Schizosaccharomyces pombe: one gene and its partners. Changing the gene in region 3 together with the main gene of any one other region gives a genetic interaction. Each region holds a gene or a part of one and is shown on either strand. Other genes may lie near its edges.

Region 1 (7,324 bases), on a different chromosome or scaffold from region 3:
ATAAACACCATCGTTTACGTAATACATCACCTTCTCTTCATCATCAAGCTTCCGTTTGGCAATTACATTGACAGCCAAAGTAAACGAAGAAGAGACGAAAAAGCGACCGGGCTCAGAAATAACACGGATGGAGGGATCAAAATAAGTATCCAAGGCAGAGCGAATAAGGTCTGCTACGCCATCAAAGCTGTCATTCATGAAACCACCACCAATGTCCAACAAGTCAAAATTAAATCCCCTTTCAAGTCCCTGATCAAATACCTGACGAGATCGTTGGATAGCATCCAAAAATGCTGAGGGATCATAGCTTCCTGACCCAACGTGAAAGCTAACACCGACGACATTTAACTCCAGGGACTTTGCGATGTCTAGCAGCTTACCAGTATCATCGAGAGAAGCACCAAACTTTAGACTGAGACGGCAAAGACTATTGGAATCATCGGTAGAAATACGAAGAAGAAGACGTGAGTTGGGATGATGTTGTTTCACCTTGTACAGCTCATCGGCATTATCAAAAGTCATCAGATTAATGCCTTTAGAAGCAGCATAGCGCACATAAGTTATGGCTTTACAAGGATTGGCGTATACAATTCGATCAGGGGATACACCTAAGCCAAGAATTTGTTCGAGTTCACCCTTAGAAGCACAGTCAAAACCAGTTCCAAATTTATTAAGCAATGCAAGTACCTTAGGATCAGGATTACATTTGACTGCATAAAATGGTTGAACACGAGGTAATTTAGCATGCCAACGAAGAAGTTGGCGATATACTCCGTTCAAATCAGCAACAAAAAATGCATCAGAGTCAGCGGGTTCACCACGGACAGCTGCACGCTCAATTTCCTCAATCGTGTTTTTAAACGCCTCACCAATCGCCTGGCGAGACGATCCAGGCGAAGACCATGTCACCACTGAGTCAATTGGTTTAACATGGCCAAGTAATTCCGTCGTACGCAACGACTCGCTGACGAGCATATTCTTTTCCATAATAGCAGGCATCGTGTAAGTAAGCTTTTTCTCTTCTAGAAATTCCGAGATCACTAAATTGAATCGTTGAATAATTTTTCTTCGGATACAAGCTAAACAAACGTTTTGTTTGTCAACTGCTCGCTTTACAATAATTTTACTATTTCAAATCAATCAATGATTTGAAATCTGCTGTTGATCAAAAAGTCCTTATTCGAGAGATTGTCTTAAATAGGAGACGTAGACGGAAATTTGCACTTTTATATACTTTTGGTGGTCGCGCAAAAAGAGCGTTTATCCTTCCAGATTCTTTTTCTTACCCACTTGTCACTGTTTTCTGCTAATTCCCAATCGTGTTGTTGGTTAAGGGTAAGTTCAATTTTGCAATGTGTGCGTACATAAAAAAATATTACACACTAGTAGAATTAACCTTAGTTTAGCGTTTGTCTTATTGACATAATAGTCTAACAAATCGAATTGCAATGTAATACGGTAAACGCAGTTTGGTTTAACAATATTTGCGACGACAAGAATCCTTCAAACTAGGATATTTCTTTAATATGTATACAATCTTTAGTTTATATTTTGTACTTTAGTTTATGACAATAACAATAATCTTTGTCCAGTGAAGGTGACATCACTTTTAAAAACTTTCCTACCAGTTTACGTTTTATTTAGAATTTATATTTTTTTGCTAATTGAATTAAACTTGGTAATCGATATATACTTAAAGGATGAGCACAGTGTTTTAGCAATAAGGAATAGTGTGTTTGTACAATACCGAGTAAAAAGGGCTCTTTCTTTTAGCCAGCAAATGAGATATTAAGTGTATCGGTAATTTTAATAGTATTTACAATTTACTTACTAATTAACGTAGATGTTATTTCTTAGGTAATTTTGAGTTCTAATTCGTGTTTGTACTGATTCAACCGTGAATAATAGAATTCCCTTACAAACGATTTATCGATATTTACCTTGTCGTACTTTTAAACCAAAAAAAAAAAGAGGGAAGAAAGGTGGGGAAAAAATACCAAAGTAATATTCGACTCTGCAAGCTTTAGCAAAAAAAAAGTGGCACATGTTTTAATCAAGACACTTTTTGCCCACAACTAAGAACAAAAGCACATAACACAATGCCTACCCTTTTGTGTTCTTGAGGGTTTATATATTTTCGTTTATTTCTTTGTACATTAAAGAATTCTATTCATTCTAAAATTTTTAAGTCTATTGGTTCAAAACACGACTGTATTTAATTAAGAGAGGGAACATTATGGACCGAACTAAGAGGCGAAAAATAGAGAAGGAGGCTTCCTTACTAAATGAAAGAAACAACCTTTTGGAAAGTGATTTCGCCAATTGCTACCGTGCATTCCAGCACCAACTCAAGCTAGACCAGCAGATATGGCGTGGACCAGAGGACGAGTTAAATCGGCTAAAGTCTACTATTTATCCTGTCGTTTTTTGGGTTGATGGATCTGAGAAACTACATGCATATAGTTTTACTCAAAGAAAAATTTCATTGGCCAAAAACTTGATTCCTTTGTTTTCTGTCGACTTGAATAAGGATACTTACTCTGCTTTAAAAGCACCTCTCAAAATTTGGAGTAAGCTTTGGGAGGATAATAGGCGGCTGAAGAAAATTATAAAATACACATCTTATGTTACTGTAAAAGGATCCGAGTTAATTTTGTCGTTTGGCATTTCCATACTCGACTCTTTTCTTGCCCCTCAAGATGCGATTCTTTCATCTGGATCATCTTCCTCATACACTGCTTTACTAGACTATACGTTCCTTCCGTCTGAAGATGAGGAATATTCTTGTTTAGATATTAACACTGCACTATTTTACGATTGTGCAAGAAAATTGGCAAAAAGCCTACGTTTCGCCAATGTATCACGCGATCCAAGGCTTTCTTCGGAACTTTTACCATTTCAAATGCGTGTTTTAGAATGGATGAAACGAAGAGAAGAAGAGAAATTCCTAACCTCAAATGATTTACCACCTCTATGGTACCATTGCAAAAGTCTTTTTGATGATCGAATGGTTTACGTTAATCATGTTTACGGCTATATGACATTTTCGAAAGAAAAAACATATTTGCTTGCGTCCGGTGATATACGTGGAGGCATTTTAGCCGATGAAATGGGCATGGGAAAAACTTTGGAAGTCTTAGGATTAGTTTTGCATCATCAGTTGCCAATTTCTTTGACTGATACTTGTACTTTCGATCAGGTCGTCGGAAAAAATGTAAAGTATTCCAAGGCCACCCTAATAATTACGCCTTCTACAATTCTCGATCAATGGTTATCTGAGATAGATTTGCATGTGCCATCATTGAAAGTATTCCATTACCAAGGAATCCGAAAATCCAATGGTTTGAAATCAGCTAAAATTTTTTTGGATTGTGATATAGTGGTAACATCTTATTCTGATTTACGGTTTGAGCTATTGTACACTGAATCTCATTCCAGGACCTTAAGACATGAAAAGCGACATGTTTCTCCAAAGTCTCCATTGATTGATGTATGTTGGTGGAGAATTTGTGTTGATGAAGCTCAGATGGTTGAAACTTCACAGAGTAATGTCGCACAAATGATTTATCGCATACCTCGTGTCAATTGTTGGACTGTAAGTGGAACTCCCGTACGTAGTGAAGTTGATGACCTTTTTGGCCTTTTATTTCTTCTTCGCTACTCCCCTATGTATTTATACAAAAAACAAGCTTGGATGCAAATTATAGAGAAGAAACGTGTTCGTGAATTTTGCGATCTGTTTGGCTCCCTTGTATGCAGACATTCTAAACAGGACGTTGAAGAAGAATTAAAATTACCTCCTCAACATCGAATCTGCATGACTACAAGACTTAGTGTAGTAGAAGAAACGAACTACCAGGATTTATTATCAGAGGCGGCCAAGTCTTTGCACTTTTTCAAAGACAGAAATTTGGATTTGTGTGACGAAGAATCTATGAGGCGTTGGTTGGTTCGTTTACGACAGGCATGTTGCCATCCGCAGGTTGGATTTGGTAACAAATCCGCATTTGGAGGTGGACCCATGAAAAGCATTAATGATGTATTAGTTTTTATGTTGGAACAAACAAACTCTACATTCTCCTCGTTAAACAGGAAGCTTTATTCCGATAAGATTATTGTTGGTCAAATATATGATCATATTAAAGACTATAATAAAGCATTGGCTATTTGGTCTGAAGTCAGAATACCTGTCGAGCTCGCTGTCAAAGAATTAGAAAATGTTATTTACAACTCTAAATATGAGGACCATGGTAAAAATTTACCGATTAATTATTTTGGTTTGGATCATTTCATTCATCTGCGTGTTTGGTATGTTCTATTGCATAAAATATACTTTTTTATAGCAAGCGCTTATTTTTCTTTAAAAAACGAAAAGTTTGAAAATGAATTTTATTTGCTCGCGCAGGATTTAAGAAGGAAGATTATGAGTGATGTGATTATCAAAACCAGCAAGCACCTTGAAGAGTTTTCAGAAAAATTTATTCCAAAGAAACTTGTCAAAATACCACGATTACAGAAATCTTACGCAAAAGGTCTCATAACCGGACATGGTATAATTGAAGACTATAATAGACTTTATAAAGAGTTGAATGATCAAAAGGAGGTGCTTATAAAATTTAGAGATCGGCTTATCCATTTGATGAAACTTCCACTTCTGGATCAAGAATCGGATCCGACCGGCGATGAATACGAAGAATCATTGAATGCGCAATCAGAGATATCCTATTGTATTGATGTTTACCGTCAAATGCTTTCAGATCGAGTAGCGGCAGTCAGCGGTACTATTAATACCTTTGTGTCTCATGAAACAGAACTTGAGAAATACAAACTTATAGAGAGTATAAAAAAATCGGAGAAATCGTTAGACAAGCAGGCTGAAGAACGTGATAAAAAATATTTGCTTTACTTTGAGGAAAGGGAAGAAGCAAGGCCAAAAGCAGATCAATACGGATCATTAATAAATATAGTTTCAAGACTGTTAGATGCATCAAATAGATCCACCTCAAGTTTTGAAACTTCTAAAAACATGGAAGAATATGAACGGATTGATGCAATGGCAAAGGAGCAATCTAGAATTTGCCAAAAATTGGAAAAAGAATTGAGTATAATTCAGTTGACTTATAATTCAAGGATTGAGTACTATAAACAGCTGCAGGAAATTTCTGACTCTTTGATGCCTCCTCCCGTTTCAAATATCAGTTTAAACAATTACGTTAAAGACGACGAAAAAAAACAAAAATTTTTGAACTCTGTTATAATTAAAGCTTCGGTGATTTTGGAAAAAGAAATTTCAGAAAAGCAGGACGAAGCAAGTCAAACAACAAACGTAGCAGAACTCGTCAATCAAAAAATATCCGAAATGAATATACCTGGACATATCCATCTGCTGCGAGAGCTAGAAGAGGAAAAAAGCAATACCCAACGTAAAATTGCTCACTTCGAATCAAGGAGAAGGTATTTAACAAACCTATATGAACATATTGTCCTTAAAGCTGAATCTCATCAGATTTGTATAATTTGTCGTGATATAATTAAGCAAGGTTTTATAACAACTTGTGGTAAGTATTTGTTGGATCGTTTATCTAGTTAACTTGTTAGGCCATTTGTACTGTAGTTTTTGTTTGGAAGCGTGGTTGAAGCATAGTTCGTCGTGTCCAATGTGCAAAACCAAATTGAACAAAAATAATGCTTACTATATTGGCGAAAGTAGGGATATATACTCTCGTCAAGAGTTTGTCACTGGTTTCAACAAACGAGACGAAAGGCTTGAAATTCTCGACGATGAAGCATACAGGCAAATTTCTAATATGGAGTTAAAGGAGTCATTTGGATCAAAAATTGACACAATATCTAAACATCTTTTGGTAAGCAACATTTGTATTTAGAGTGGATCTAACTTTAGTATTTGAAACATAACGAACTTTATCCTAAAGTTGTTGTATTCTCTCAATGGCTTGATGTTTTGGATGTTTTGCACAAGTCATTTGAAGCGAATGGTATCGTCTTCATACGTTTTGATGGAAAGTCAAAGAACACTTGCCTAAAAAGGTTTAAAGAAGAACGTAGCTTACAAGTACTTACTTTACATGCAAGATCGCAATCGTATGTTTAAACTGTTTAATTATTTGTTCTAATCTTCATTAGATCTGGTTTGACGTTAACAAATGCCACTCACGTTTTCATGTGTACGTCGATATCTGTATTAACAAGTTTTAACATTGACAGGTGAACCATTACTAAATAGTGGAATTGAAATGCAAGCAATTTCACGCGTTCATCGAATTGGGCAAACTCGTCCGACGTTTGTTTACTACTACATTGTGGAAGATACTGTTGAAGGTCATATTTTAAATCTTTCATTGACCAAACATGAGCAGCTTGACAAACTAGGTTTGGATGTACCGCTAGTTGGTAATATCAATCGCACTACTGAAGCTAGCAGCGGCGGAGAACAAGTTGATGCCGCAGAAATTAAAGATTGTCTTAAAATGGCTTTAAAGCGGCTCACCACAGAGGATTCATGAACATGAAAAAATTGATTTTAGAGAATGATGCTGATAGGTCAGGTTTAAACAGAATAAACGGCAATACTGTACTACTTATTGGTGACAGTGATGTATGGTTAATCCTGAAGTACCCCTTCGCTCAATACTGTTCAATTATTCATCTGTTATTAAAGCAAAGCACGAAGCATTAGTTGGTTTTCACTGGTTAGATTGTGCAAACACTTAGAGTCCGAATTACAGGAAACTTATACTTAATTTAACATTGTACTGTTGTATTAATTATAACCACTTTTTTAAATACAAACCTATGTAAATATTAGAAATTAATATAGCAAGAAAGGTCGCATTTCTCATTCTGGGTATTGGATTAAAACATATTGTCTTTGTTTTTCATTGATATCAGCGATGTTACTGGGCTATTAAATGCGATGTTAATTTATAACTATAACTATAGAATGAACATACGTTTGTGCTACGAATATACACTCGTTGTTATTAAGTTATCTTTTTTTTTTTAATAAAAATGAACAGGACTATTTGAACTATGAAACGTAAGTTCTTTTAGCATCATATTCAATTATAGTTAAACAAAATTGTTTATTACTATTAAAATAACACTGATTATCTTTGGAGACATACTTTATATCAAATTACAATAATTATTAATAAAACTCATTGCAATTTATTTTTCTCAACTGCGTTAGCTAATTCACTGCTACGCGATATAACTAATTAACGATTGCTGCTTCAGCTCGATAATTCCTTTTCGTCAAGGATACATTGCGATATAGTCTTAAGAGAGCAAACTGCATAAAGCC
Region 2 (4,529 bases), 320 kb from region 3:
AAAAACGTTAATTATAAATCATATATCTGGCTTTCGAACAATTATTTATTTGCTAAGCATTCATATAGATCAAATTCATGAATCTTGTATAGCTAGGTAGAAGGAAGCGTTAGAATCGGTAAATTCTTAGCAAACCGAACAGGAGGTGACAGCCATGTAGTCAGTAATTCGTACAACTCATAAGTTACCCAAAGGTACATAGATATATGCAGATAAAATAGATATAAATTTAATAATTGTTCTAAAATTAACTGATAATTGTTCAAGCGCTTAGATACTTGTTTTCTGTAATATGAATTATGTCTTTACATCTCTAGTTCATTTTATGAACAATAATGACCACAAGAACAAAATTCAAATCAGAACTGGTTATGATGATGGACTAACTGGTTTATACACCGTCCCCTGTTACAATATACAATTCGTAGAAAACGCTTTAGTTTTTCAAAGGAAGCATTATTCTTGAATGAAACTACAAAAAGAACAATTTGATTAATTATTCCTATTTCCAATTCTTGGATAATTCAAAGTTTTATTAAATGAAAATGAATAATCTCCCATTTCAGAACTATATGTTCCAAACTGAACAGAAAAAAGGTTTCGACAAAGATTGTATTAGATTACAGTGCAGTAAATTTGAAACCATTATCAATTATTCTAGCGCAACTTTCTCATAACCCAAATTGCGTATATAGATGGACGCCAATTTTAAAAAAAATGCAAGTTATTTTCACGAAAATGCGAGGGCATCTTCATGAGTTTGATCGAGATCGTATACAGAACCCCCTTTTTGTTATCCTTTTCGCATTAGTTTAACCCAGCATACAACTCATAAAGAGAGCAATATGATTCATGGTTAAGAGGCAATCAAAAGGACGCCTGGAAGGAAATATTATAAAATTGCTGAAATAAAAAAAAGTATTTAAACTTGTTTAAAAGAAAACGAATCGTATGTGTAGATTCAAATATTCATCAAACCGAATCGTGAATTTCCGTTTTCTTAGTATAATAAATATAGGGATCTCCTAGTTTTAATCATGACAATATAGAAAATTTCCCGAATAACTGAACTATTCATCATCAGAAACTAACAGCGTCACCTCGTCTTTTTTCTTCTCCTCTATTTTAGTGAAAGGATTGACCGAGTTATCGTCTTTCTTTTGTTCAGAGGCATTCTTTTCTATTGTAGAGTCAACAGAAAGTAAAGATATTTCTTCTGTCAGCGTTTCAACACTCGTATCAATCAACTTTTCCAATTCATCAGACCATCCTAATAGTTTACATAACGCACGTACTTGGGAATCACAATCCCCCAATATCATGATATCCTTTTTTCTCTCCCCAAAGTCGCCAGCTGGTTCTCGATTAATCAAAACTCGTTGACATTTATTTGGCACTATTTCAGGCAAATCCGCGAATGGATGAACAAGTAAACTTGTTCCAATTACCAGTGCCATATCACAGACTTTTGTGTCCTTTTCCATGTGCTCGAAGAAACGCATTGGTAATCCCTCGCCATAAAACACAATCATTGGTTTGATGAGACCTTTGCAACTGTTGCATTTAGGGACCTGTTTTTGCATAATACATGCTCTAACATACTCCGTTTCCGCCTTTGTTTTCCGTCAGTAAAACCAATTTCTGCTTTTTCACTTTAACTTTTTCAAAAACAATCCTTACCATTTCGTAACATTCAATACAGCGGCTGTATTGGAAAGAGCCATGTGCTTCAATCAGAGCTTTGTCAGGCACACCTGCCAAACGCTCCAAGGTATCAATATTTTGGGTATAACATTTTTGTAGTAACCTTTTATCATGTAAAAGGCGTATAAAATAATGAGTATAAGTTGGTCTATACTTTTCAGGCATCAATTCGTGAGCCAATTCGTAGAATGGACGCGGATTTTTTCGAAAATAAGATAGATCAAAAACAGCTTCTGCGTAAGGAAGATTAAATCTTTGTAAATTATTGTAAATTCCAGTCTCAGGGCTTCGAAAATCAGGGATTCCTGCTGCAGTGCTGATCCCTGCACCAACCATAACACATATTTTCTTTACTATTTTCGATAAAATCGCATTAGTATGGTCAAGGAAAGAAAATTAAAAGTCATTACCTTTTCCTTCTTTGATTAAGGATGCAACTTTCTCTAAATGCTTGGAAGAGTCGACGTGTTTAACAGTGTTTTTCACCATTGTCGAATTTCTGAGAACAACCAAAGCAAGCCAATAATCGATTTACCTTAAAAATCCCAACTCAAACTCTTTCAAAAATTGGATCACTTAAAATTCTCAGATATGAACAAATCAATATGTTAATGCACAAAGTTTGTGGGTACGCCAAATTTCCATTATTATTTACTCGTTGAAAATATCAAACGCCATTACCGATGCTCCATTAAACTGCATTATACTGTTTAAAAGGCTATTGTATTCGACTTTAGTACTCGTTATTTGGTAAACATTTAGAGCCATCTTTTTCAATTAAGAGTTTCTGGATGTCGTTGAAAAAATGAGATACGGGGTAATCAGAAATTATGATTAATCAACTTTCGGCTCACTTGATTAGATTCAGCAACGATAACTCTTGACTTTCTGGTTTTACTTATTGGGTTGGTCACACCAGTTTGACATATTAGGTGTCAAAGTTTTTTATAAGTTTATCATTAGTTAACTATTTTTTATCTTTATAATCAGTGTCATGTACGACTATAAATGTACGATTAAAGAATCATCGTCGGGAAAGAAATAATGAATTTGAGAGAACAATCCAAATTTGCGCTAAGAATTTTAATGCTGCTAATGTACACCGTTTTATGGTGCAATGGTGTGCTATAATTTTCCTTATTACATATTGCGGATATCATTGCGCTTTGTTAGTGCTTCAGTTTCACTTACGTTATACACATGTTTACATTCTAACTAGAGCCTATACTTCATTTTGTTGTAACGCAGAAATTCATTTAGATAGGTGTTATAGACGTAAATGAAGCAAAGATTTTCCGCTTTAGATATTGCTGCGATTGCTGCGGAATTACGAGAACAAGTGGTTGGGTGTCGCTTGAATAACTTTTATGATCTAAATGCGCGTACCTTCTTGTTGAAGTTTGGTAAACAAGTATGTGTAGAAAGTAATAAATATTTTTTTACTAACCCGTTAAAGGATGCAAAATATTCTATTGTTATTGAAAGTGGGTTTCGTGCTCATTTAACAAAATTTGATCGAGAAAATGCCCCTTTGTCTGGGTTTGTAACGAAGCTACGAAAACATATAAAATCTAGAAGGTTAACTGGTGTCTCTCAGTTGGGTACTGATCGAGTACTCGTTTTCACATTTGGAGGTGGTGCGAATGATCAAGACCCCGATTGGACGTACTATCTGGTTTGTGAATTTTTCGCTGCTGGAAATGTTTTACTATTAGACGGCCATTACAAGATTCTGTCTCTTTTACGAGTGGTCACCTTCGATAAAGACCAAGTTTATGCCGTAGGGCAAAAGTACAATTTAGACAAAAATAATCTCGTTAATGACAATAAATCTCAGTCTACTATTCCTCATATGACAGCTGAACGATTAAATATCCTTTTGGATGAAATAAGCACTGCTTATGCTTCTCCTACTTCTATTAACGAACCTTTACCTGACCAACAACTATCCTCTTCTACAAAGCCGATTAAAGTACCCAAACCAGTTTCTCTTAGAAAAGCATTGACTATAAGATTAGGTGAATATGGTAATGCACTTATAGAGCACTGTCTTCGGCGTTCAAAATTAGATCCACTATTCCCTGCTTGCCAGCTCTGTGCAGACGAAACCAAGAAAAACGATTTATTAGCTGCTTTTCAAGAAGCCGACTCCATATTAGCTGCAGTTAATAAGCCCCCAGTAAAGGGTTATATATTTTCACTGGAGCAAGCACTAACAAATGCTGCTGATCCTCAACACCCTGAAGAATGTACTACATTATACGAAGATTTTCACCCTTTTCAGCCTTTACAGCTCGTTCAGGCAAACAGAAAGTGCATGGAGTTTCCAACCTATAACGAATGCGTTGACGAGTTTTTCTCTTCTATCGAAGCACAAAAGCTAAAAAAACGAGCACATGATCGCCTAGCGACAGCTGAGCGAAGGCTTGAATCGGCTAAAGAGGATCAAGCACGAAAACTTCAAAGTTTACAAGATGCCCAAGCTACTTGTGCGTTGAGGGCTCAGGCAATTGAGATGAACCCTGAACTTGTTGAGGCTATTATCTCATACATTAACTCTCTGTTGAACCAAGGAATGGATTGGTTAGATATTGAAAAGTTAATTCAATCTCAAAAAAGAAGAAGTCCGGTAGCTGCTGCTATTCAAATTCCCCTTAAACTTATAAAAAACGCCGTTACCGTTTTTCTTCCTAATCCAGAGTCTGTAGATAATTCTGATGAAAGTTCAGAAACCAGCGATGATGATTTGGATGATTCTGATGATGATAATAAAGTGAAGGAAGGAAAAGTTTCGTCAAAGTTTATTGCCGTTGAATTGGATTTAT
Region 3 (3,936 bases):
CATTTCCGCAACCAACATCAACAAAACTAAATTCTTTGTTTGATGAATAAGTTTGTTTCCACAATTCTATAAGAAATGCTGCAATAGCCAAATCTTCGAAAACGTGTTTACCAGGATCCGTTTTTTCTACCCAATTGTCAACAAGTTGCTTGGCGTATTTATCTTTCAGAATAACATAGGTATCTTGAAACTTGTTTCTTTCCACAACAGTGTCGTGAAGCATGCGTTTTTGGTACCCTTCCACTGCCCCCTTGCAATGCTTGTGTAAAACAAGTAAAAGCATATGAGCTGTTCGCAATAAACGGGAAGACAATTCCCTTTGAAAATCCTTTTCTACTAAATATAAAACCTCAACACTTGATCCTTTGTAATGAAAAGCAATTCCAGCTACTGCGGGATGATAGTATGGAAGATGATTATAGGGCTGTTCCAAACTTTTGTCCAGGTGAGGTAAGTACATTAATATACGATCATTTTCAAGCTTCTCATGTAGCACAACAACCGTTTGGTCCATTGTCGCATCCAAATTAGTATTACGAGGAATAATTCGACGATCGATCCACCTTGAAATTTGGTACCTTTCGTCAAGATTTTCGAAAACTGATTTCTGCTTGTTTAGAATTGAATCATCCTCTTGAGAATCAAGAATTATGTCTGTTCGCATGATAACACTGCTTGTCCGCTCTGGATGATAGACTAATTCTATCATCATTTTGTCAAATACCTCAGCTGCATAGCAGGTATCGTGCTCCAAAATGGATTGCCATTGGTAAGATGACTGCAAGTCATAAGGAACAGGTGGATCACATGTCAAAGCATTTTTTGGTTCTCGCGGCTTCCAATACGCAGGAACCTTCATAAATGCAATGCGCAAAAACCTTTCAATTGAACAAGTACGAAAGTACTGTTAGCAGAAAAAAAAATGTCGGAAACTCTAGCGCTTAATTTTAAGCATGTTTAAGGAACGCTTAATATACGTTAAATAAAATACGGATGCGTTGGAGATTTCAAAAACATTTGAATCTGTGTCTTTTCCTGTAGTAAAAAGGGAGAAAGGATTGAATAAATGGTTTGCTCAAAGTTTAACTAGCATTTCCATGAGTTCAGGAATTGCTAAAGGGGAACTTAAGGGTCTAAGCTCCTTTCAAATGAGTAAACAGGTAAATATTAATTCCATAAGGTAAACTTTGCGAATTTTTTTATTCGCAAATTTCCATCCATTTTGTATTGGTCATATAGTCGTAAAGAAGCCTAATCTTGAGATGCTGTAAAACTTCATGTCATATAATCTTACTAAGACACTCTATATACGATTCTCTCTTTCTCCTCAACAAAAATATTATCTTACAGAGGGTTTAAATTGGTAGAGCAAATTGACCTAAGAGGTGAACCAGTAACCTGAGAAAAAATTGCAGCTTCGATGTATGTATGAGATAGATTCTGTAGTTGTTTTATTATAATCTGACAAGTTCTTTCTACCGGAAGATTTCAAAAACGAGGAAAAGTAGTTCTTAAAATTTTTTCATCCTTTACTACGCTCTACAATCAAAATTTTCGATTTCATTAATTAACACGGCTTCTACTTTTTTTATTTTATGCAAGTCCCATATAAAAAGACTGTTAATATCAAGCAGCAAATACCGATAGAATTTTGTAGAATGAAATTTGACGCTTTTGGTTGAGAAAATCAAACGTGTGCAAAATGTCACAGCTCTTCACACGTAAACGAAATAGCGAACAAACACTCCTTATCAATAAAAGTACAGCAAAACACCAAGGAAGTGTCAGTTACTATTAACCAAAAACTAATTGAGAAACGACTTTGAGATTGTACTATAAAGATGGCTACTACCAACAAAGTTTACTTTATTGCAGGAGGAAATCGTGGTATTGGACTCTCTCTTGTCAAAGAGTTAAGCAGTAGAGAAGGAACGACTGTGTTTGCGAGTGCTCGCAAACCCGAAGCTGCTACTGAATTACAAGAATGGAGCAAATCTCATCCTAATGTTAAAACTGTTGAATTAGATGTCACATCTCAGCAGAGTGCCAATGAAGCTGCTCAAAGCGTTGCGAAGGCGGTCGATGGAATTGATGTTCTTTGGTTGAACTCTGGTATTTGTCAATCTTACTATACAGTTATGGAAGCACCTGAAGAAGTTTGGAATGCTCATTATCAAACCAATGTTTTAGGACCTATCCATGTGTTCAAAGCTTTTTATCCGTTGTTGACAAAGAAAAAAACCAGACAGGTTATCTTTACTTCCAGTGAATGCGGCTCAATGGGCGACTTTCGTGCTACTGGATTCTCTGCCTACGGTCAGTCCAAGGCAGCAATCAATTTCACTATGAAGGAACTTAGTGTCGAACTAGCTGATGAACACTTCACATTCATTTCCATTCATCCTGGAGTAGTAAAGACTGATATGAATGCTGATGCTATCAAAAAATTTACTGAAACATCTCCCGAGATGCTGACTTACTTAAAAAAGGTTACTATCATACCCGAAGAAAGCGTTTCATCCATGCTTAAGGTGGTTGACAATTTGAAACCCGAAAACAACGGGTCTTTTTATAGATATGACGGGACCATTATTCCCTTTTAGACATATCTTTTGTTAGTCATGATGGTTTTGATGCCCCTTTTTAAAGATGTTTTTGCAGTCTAGATTACAGCACGATGTTGTGTTCAAACAATCGTTCTTTTTTGTTGAATTTACATGCCCTTACAAATATTTACAAGCCTTCAGAACTTTAAAAAAGCTTAACATAACTATTTAGTGAGCATGGACATCTAAAAGATGTGTTTCATGTAACAAATTTGAGTATTCATTCGTATAAGGCTTATCGTCCAAAAAATGACTCCCGAGTGATCGATCATCTTACGGCTATCTTGTTTTTTTATAAATTTATTTTTTGGTGGAGCAATTTAAAGAGTCGTTTGTTTGTACCCAATTTAAAGCTTTTCTATACGACTGGCAACTCAGCATTCTCATGTGAGTAACTTCAAATACATATCATCTATATGATGCTTTGTCAAAGAAACCAGAAACAGAAGAATAATTTAACTGAAATTGATTAATTTATTAAAGCGGAATTAAGGGAATATGTTTAAAAAACCGTCTAAATAGGTTGTAAATGTATTTATATTGTCTTCTAATACAAAGTACAATAAGTTCTATACGATGAATTTTTATGAACTTGTCGCTGAGTATATTCAATTATGTAAGCATCAAAATTCACGGTTCAAATCACGTAAGCATAATGATTTGAAGAATTGGTATATAAGCATGAAGTTGATGATAAATTGCCGACACCAAATTATCCACTTTTCAAACGGATTCAAGGATCATTCAAACATTGTGTTAGAATATGTCTACTACCAACAAAATTTACTTTATTGCAGGAGGAAATCGAGGCATTGGACTCTCTCTTGTTAAGGAATTGAGCAACAGAAAAGGAACAGTTGTATTTGCAAGTGCCCGCAAGCCTGGAGCTGCTACTAAATTACAAGAATGGAGCAAGTCTCATTCCAATGTGCACATTATTAAGTTAGATGTCTCCTCTCTAGAGAGTGCCAATGAAGCCGCTCAAGAAGTTACAAAAGTAGTTGATGCAGTGGATGTTCTCTGGGTAAATTCAGCCGTTTTCCATTCTTTTGGTCCTGTCGTAAATACTCCTGATGATGTCTGGAACTCTCACTATAAAACCAATGTTTTAGGACCAATTCATGTCTACCAAGCCTTTTATCCTCTTATAAAAAAAGGAAGATCTAAAATCATTGTTTTTACTTCATCATTAGCTGGATCCATGGGAGCTTTCTTCCCTTCAAGTCAATCTGCTTATGGCCAATCTAAGGCTGCCTTAAATTATACGATGAAGGAAATTAGTTTTGAGCTACAAGATGAAGGATTCATAGTGATTTCAATTCACCCCGGA

Evidence for each region. A genetic interaction does not mean that the proteins touch.
Region 1: mutations in SPOM_SPCC663.09C (region 3) and irc20 together harm fitness more than expected from each alone (negative genetic interaction), as found in Schizosaccharomyces pombe (one large-scale study listed by BioGRID).
Region 2: mutations in SPOM_SPCC663.09C (region 3) and hst2 together harm fitness more than expected from each alone (negative genetic interaction), as found in Schizosaccharomyces pombe (one large-scale study listed by BioGRID).

Annotation. Positions count from the first base shown.
Region 1 is NC_003424.3:4,657,020-4,664,343, forward strand, and holds irc20 (ATP-dependent DNA helicase), read left to right. Parts: upstream 1-2,077; 5' UTR 2,078-2,236; coding exon 2,237-5,558; intron 5,559-5,577; exon of another isoform or gene 5,578-5,598; coding exon 5,599-5,864; intron 5,865-5,902; coding exon 5,903-6,102; intron 6,103-6,144; coding exon 6,145-6,185; intron 6,186-6,225; coding exon 6,226-6,524; 3' UTR 6,525-6,824; downstream 6,825-7,324. Other genes in the region: ornithine decarboxylase Spe1, read right to left, coding at 1-999.
Region 2 is NC_003421.2:1,326,762-1,331,290, reverse strand, and holds hst2 (histone deacetylase, Sirtuin family, NAD-dependent Hst2), read right to left. Parts: upstream 2,340-4,529; 5' UTR 2,194-2,339; coding exon 2,115-2,193; exon of another isoform or gene 2,113-2,114; intron 2,058-2,112; coding exon 1,681-2,057; exon of another isoform or gene 1,614-1,680; coding exon 1,071-1,613; 3' UTR 501-1,070; downstream 1-500. Other genes in the region: ribosome quality control complex subunit Rqc2, read left to right, coding at 2,984-3,115, 3,161-4,529. UniProt on the Schizosaccharomyces pombe protein: NAD-dependent histone deacetylase, which could function in telomeric silencing, cell cycle progression and chromosome stability.
Region 3 is NC_003421.2:1,648,195-1,652,130, reverse strand, and holds SPOM_SPCC663.09C (dehydrogenase), read left to right. Parts: upstream 1-1,790; 5' UTR 1,791-1,841; coding exon 1,842-2,603; 3' UTR 2,604-3,091; downstream 3,092-3,936. Other genes in the region: trm44 (tRNA (uracil-O(2)-)-methyltransferase), read right to left, coding at 1-859; SPOM_SPCC663.08C (short chain dehydrogenase ), read left to right, coding at 3,370-3,936.